2 separate regions of the Mus musculus genome follow, and region 1 is reported to be linked to region 2. The links are microRNA targets in miRTarBase. Many come from high-throughput screens and were not tested one by one. Region 2 holds a microRNA gene; the other region holds the end of a gene's coding sequence.

The links. The annotated mature microRNA mmu-miR-466n-5p reads GUGUGUGCGUACAUGUACAUGU and lies in region 2 at 1,493-1,514, opposite strand. An mRNA with a match to its seed (bases 2 to 7 or 8) in the 3' UTR can be bound and repressed. Matches are read on the target gene's strand: a 7mer-m8 pairs with bases 2 to 8, a 7mer-A1 pairs with bases 2 to 7 and ends in A, and an 8mer does both.
Region 1: miRTarBase lists Mlec as a target of mmu-miR-466n-5p. Seed matches in the 3' UTR shown: 7mer-m8 at 2,602-2,608 and 7mer-A1 at 2,565-2,571.

What each region holds. Positions count from the first base shown.
Region 1 is chr5:115,145,197-115,148,196 of GRCm38, forward strand. It overlaps Mlec (malectin), which reads right to left. Exons shown (of 5, transcript NM_175403.3): 5 at 1-2,948. The coding sequence ends at 2,719. Among named protein-coding and RNA genes, the nearest start is that of Mlec, 11 kb to the right of the region's middle.
Region 2 is chr2:10,510,314-10,513,491 of GRCm38, reverse strand. Mir466d (microRNA 466d) reads right to left here and starts at 1,525; the gene lies at 1,430-1,525. All of the region lies in intron 10 of Sfmbt2 (Scm-like with four mbt domains 2), which reads right to left. Mir297b (microRNA 297b) reads right to left here and starts at 1,825; the gene lies at 1,717-1,825. Mir669m-1 (microRNA 669m-1) reads right to left here and starts at 702; the gene lies at 605-702. It also overlaps Mir669m-2.

The DNA of each region.
Region 1 (3,000 bases), not on the chromosome of region 2:
AGCTGGCCCCTGACTGACCTAAACCACACTGGACCTGCAGACTCAACCCAGCTGTCCTTGCTTGCTCCTCTGCTCTGCTCTTGTACCTTTCTCTCTAGTGGCTGGATCAGTGTGCTCTAACATCCTGGGTCAGAGTATAGCTCAAACAGAAAACCCGGGCCTCTCCTGGCCCACTCCCTGACTTGCACCACCCACAGCTCCCAATCCCAGGCAACTCCTTGTTCTAGCTCAAAACACAGCGGGGAACAAACAGTGCAAAAAGCAACACGAACAATGGAGTGATTCTTGACATACACAATACAAAAATAAAAATAAAGCGTGCCCCACCCAGCCCCTTTAACCCAAACCTCAAGTACCTACATCATCTTAGAGGGAGGGGAAAGCTTTCAAGTTCAACGTCAAACAGCTCATTAGCTGGGCAGGCTTGGCTTAGGGAATCCATCCCAGCCTCCGCCACACTCCTTCCCTTCTGCTTCCTCTTCCCTTTTAGTTTTTATTAGCTACAGAAAGATGTTCCTTCCGCTCAGATACAACTAGAGAGGAAAGCACCCGTCCCTATCCCTCCGGGAAGGGGTGGGCTTGGAAACAGAGGCAGAAGCCGAGCCACTTGGCTTACAGTACCATTAGGAAATGGCCCAGGAGTCAGGGTTTCCTTCTGAGAAGGACTCTGAGTCACCAAAGGGGTGAGCTGGGTGAGAAAGCAGGACCCCTCCTTCCTCAGAGACCCAGGCAGACAAGGTGACACGGAGGCAGCTACTCTCCCTCACCTTGTTTAATGTGCTGACAGTGGCCCATAGCTTTGTAAATAGGGATGGACCGGGAACCAGAAGCCAGATTAGTCAGGACATCTGTTGCCCTAGGCAGGCAGTTCCCGAGACCAGGGTAGTAAGTACCTCAGCGTCCTGTAGAAGCAGGACCTTTGCAAGTGCAACTTCAGGCCACAGCCATGCAGCTGCCACCTCAGTACCCTAGGGCTAGCCTAAGTCACAGAGAACACAGAAGACAGTTCTCAAATGACCAAGTGCTGGCCTGGAGTCACCATTAGGAGCCAGTCAAGACATGGCCCCAGAGCTACTTACTTGTCGCACAGCTCAGATATCTGATAAGGCAAACTTAAAATTCAAACACATTCAGAAATAAGGGCCTGGCCTGAGACTCACACGGCTCCAACTCAAGCTGAAGCAAAGCCTGCTGCTTCTGACATAGAAAATCCCTTTTATTGCAGCTGGGCTGTCCCTCACTGTGTCTTAACTGACACACAGATGAAGGTGACCAAAAGGAAGATGGGGGACATGGAAACTTCATCCCCTACAGAGGTGTTTACTGGGAATCTGAGACAGACACTTTGATGCTAAAGTTAGACATTCAGAGCCTCCAGAACTACAGCTGACTAGGAGTCTTTGAGTCCCACGTATTTGGATGGAACTTAACTGCTACTTGGATAGGGGAGGGGAGGGCAGTAGAGCCTACTATTATCATCAATGAGAAACACAGCTGGGCTGCTGCAGCCAGTCTCAGTTCTTTGGGGTGACTCTAGGCATAAGCCTAAACTAGCTGAAAGAGGACAGAAGACACAGGGACAGATGGACATCAGATTCTGGACATTCTAAACAGTGGTCAGTCACTTAGCAGGGCTCAAGTCTCTGAGGTTGCTAACATAAGCCTTTTCTAATCCAAAGACCAGAAGAGACTTTTAAGGTCAAGTGTTCTGTTGCTGCAGGCTGGAAAGCATCCCTGTCCCTGGCAGCAAGACCCTATGGAGGGGCCAGTAAGAGTTGCTGGCTCAGGAATTCAGGGAGGGAGGTACCAACAAGGTGAGGTGGTGGAGGGTCAGACACCCCAGCAGAGACCACTCCAATCTCCTGTCTCCTGCCCAGTTTTGACAATAACTTAGCTCTATGGTTAAGAAGTGAGAAATTTCAAATGAACCAGATTAAGAGAAAAATCAAGAAGAAATCAAGTCCTCAACAGGCACTAAAATCAAAACAATTTGTTGTAGTAACAAGCTGTTGGTGATTTGAGGACCTGACATACACTAGTCGTCTTGGATACCAGACAGTCCTCTAACTGGCACACATCAGGATGAGAGATGACAATGAAGATACATCAACAGATTAACCCAGACGACAGGCTTCCCAGGAAGGAAGCGCTGACTTTCTCTTCCACGCCTTTGTCTTTACCGTCCCACTTATCTACCTCCACACACACACTTGGAATACCATGACTGCTGAAATCACATCTGGACAGAAACTCAGAACACACCCAACTCCAGTGCGGTCTTTCCAGGTTATGTGACATTTTCCTGCTGTTTGTTAATGTCTAACCTAAAAAAACCAAGGAAGTGTGACTGCTCTGAGTTCAGAGTCCTTCCTACTAGGTATATAATGAGGATCCTCGGAGAGGAAGGATCCTCTCCCTAAGTACCCCAGAGAAAGAGAGCTGGGGTGGGGCCAGCTAGGCAGAGCAGGACTGAGCACTCTGCAACCTGTGTTGGTGGGGTGACCCCACTCTCTCTGCTTTTCTTATCTCTTTCCGTGTGTGTGTGAGCACATGTGTGTCTGTGTTTGTGTGTGTGTGTGTGTGTGTGTGTGTGTGTGTGTGTGTGTGCGCTGTTTGATTTGTTTTCTCTTTTCCTAAACACTGTGAAGATTACAGAAACCAAAGTGTCTGGTTTCTCGCACACTCCCTCCACCCTGCTGAGGATGGCCATTTGTCCTCTCACAAGCGGCAGAGGCAGAAGAGGGTTGGAATGAACACTCCGAAGGCCACCAGGATAGGGAACATGAGGCTGCTGTTGTCCGAGGCATAGGGGTTAGGCGTGCGGGGGCCTGACTGCACCCTGTTCTTGTTGGTCTGTCTTTTGAGATTAGACCCCTCATCATATTCCTCCTCCTCCTCCTCCTCTTCTTTCTTTTCCAATCCTGGATGAGGCTGCAGCTTTGGTACATCTAATAGAAAAAAAGAAAAACCCTTTAAGTACACTAAGACCCAGAGCATTTA
Region 2 (3,178 bases):
ATGTATATTCATATACACACATGCACATGCACACAAAACTATACACACATGCAAATATATTGTGGGGAACCCCATAAAATCAGGCTGATCTCTACTCTCTTTTGAATTTATTTATGAATATGAATTCCTGACCCCTCTGAATATGGCAAGCTTTTACATAGTGAGAAAAACTTTCATTTGACCAGTACTACATAACCTTTAAAGCTCAAAATCACATATCATTCAAACATATCAATGAATTCCATTCCTTGTGTGTATGTGTGCATACGTGTGTCCATATACATGTATGTTTATGTTATATATATATATATATATATATATATATATATATATATATGTATATATATATATATATATATATATTCATTTACACAGATGTACACGCACACACATGTAAACACACATGCACATACATGGGTGGCATCACAGGAATACCAGGATAATCTCTAACTGAAGTTAATCATGAATTTGAAATCCTGATTCTCCAGACTTTGTCAATCATTTACAGCTGGTGACTGAGACCATTCACTGTCCCACTACTGCAGTCTCTAAAACTCTAAGTCACCTATCATTCAAATGGATCGATGAGTGCCATTCCTGTGTGTGTATCTGTGCTTGCTTGTATATGTTTGTGTGGATGTATATGTCTATTCATATACACACATGCACATGCACACAAAACTATACACACATGCACATACATTGGGGAGGATCCCATGAAGCCAGGCTGATCTGTACACCATTTTGAAGTTACTCATGAATTTGAACTCCTGATCCATCTGAATATGAAAAACATTTTACTGGTAAGTAAGAAGTTTCATTGGCCAAGTACTACATAATTGCTAAAGCTCTAAGTCACATATCTTTCAAACATATAAATGAATGCAATTTTTTCTCTGTGTGTGTGTGTGTGTGCTTGCATATACACATGTGTTTATGTTATGTATATTCATGTCAACACATGCACATGCACATACAAGTAAACACACATGCACATACATGGGTGGCATCACATGAATACCAGGATGATCTCTAACTGAATTAAGCATGAATTTGAAATCTTTATCCTCCTGACTTTGTCAATCTTTTACACCTGGTGGGTGAGACCATTCAATGTCCCCTATTGCATAATCTCTAAAACTCTACATGACTTATCATTCAAAGGGATTGGCGAATGCCATTCCTGTATCTGTGTATGTGTGCTTGCGTTTATACGTGTGTGTGTATGTTATGTATATTCAAATATAGACATGAACATGCACACACAACTATACACACATGCACATACATGGAGGAATCACATAAATCACAGGCTGATCTCTAAATTCTCATGAGGATAAGTATGAATTTGAACTCCTGATACTCTTAACTCTAGTAAGCATTTTCACTCTAAGTCACTTATCATTCAAATGGATTGATGAGTGCCATCCCTGTGTGTGTGTGTGCGTGCGTATCTATGTGTGCGTGTATGTATATGTATATTCATATACACACATGTACATGTACGCACACACAAACACACATGCACATACACAGGGGCCATCACATGAATGACAGGCTGATCTCTACCTCATCACGCAGTTAACATGAATTTGCACTCCTGATCACCCTGACTCTGGCAAGGGGCGTCACATGGTGAGTGTGACCTCTCCCTGGCCCAGTCATACAGAATCTCTAAGACTCTAAGACACATATCATTCAATAGAACAATGAGTATCCATTTTCTGTGTGTTTGTATGCATGTTTGTATGGGTATGTGTGTATGTATATGTATATTCATATACACATGTTCATGCACACATACATATACACACAAGCAAATAGATTGGGGGCATCACATGAATCCGAAGTTGATCCCAGACTCATCATGAAGTTGAGAATGAATTTTGACTGCTCATCCTCCTGACTCTGGCAAGCATTTTTACCTTTTGACTAAGAGCACTCACTGGCCCAGCACAGCATAATTTCTAAAACTCTAAGTCACCTGTCATTCAAAATGATTGATGGGTGTGTGTGTGTGTGTCTGTGTATCTGTGCTACTTCTATATGTTTGTATGGATGTATATGTATATGCATATGCACACATGCACATGCACATAAACTATACACACATAAACATACATTGGGGGGAACCCCGTGAAGTCAGGCTGATCTCTATGTCATTTTGAAATTACTCATGAATTTGGACCCCTGATCCATCTGAATATAACAAACATTTTTACTGGTAAGTAAGACGTTTCATTGGCCCAGTAATACATACTCTTAAAGCTCTAAGTCATATATCATTCAAACGTAACGACGAATGCAATTTCTTCTGTGTGTGTGTGCCTGCATATACACGTGTGTTTATGTTATGTATATTCATATCAACACATGCACATGCACATACAAGTAAGCACACATGCACATACATGGGTAGCATCACAGAAATACCAGGATGATCTCCAACTGAAATTAAGCATGGATTTGAACTCCTGATCCTCCTGACTCTGTGGTTTACACCTGGTGATTGAGACCATTCACTGTCCCACTACTGCATAATCTCTAAAACTCTAAGTCACCTATCATTCAGATGGATCGATGAGTGTCATTCCTGTGTCTCTGTGTGTGTGTGTGCTTGTGTTTATATGTATGTGCATGTTATGTCTATTCATATACACACATGCACATGTACACAAAACTATACACCCATGCACATACATGGGTGGCAATCACATGAATCACAGGCAGATATCTATATCCTCCTGAAGATAAGCATGAATTTGAACTCCTGATACTCCTGATTCTAGCAAGCATTTTTACCTAGAAAATGACAGCACTCACTGGCCCAGTACTGAATAATTTCTAATATTCTAGGTGGCATATCATATAAATGGATCTATGAATGTTATTCGTGTGTGTGTGTGTGTGTGTGTGTGTGTGTGTGTGTGTGTGTGTGTGCACGCTAGGGTTTATATGTCTATGTATATGTTATGTATATCCATATAGACACATGAACATACACACACAACTATACAAACCTGCATGTACACTTAAGGCATCACATGAATCACAGGCTTATCTCTAAATCATGCTGAAGATAAGCATAAATTTGAACTTCTGATACTCCTAACTATAGTAAGCATTTTCACCTAGAGAATGAGAGCACTCACTTGCCCCATACTGAATAATCTCTACT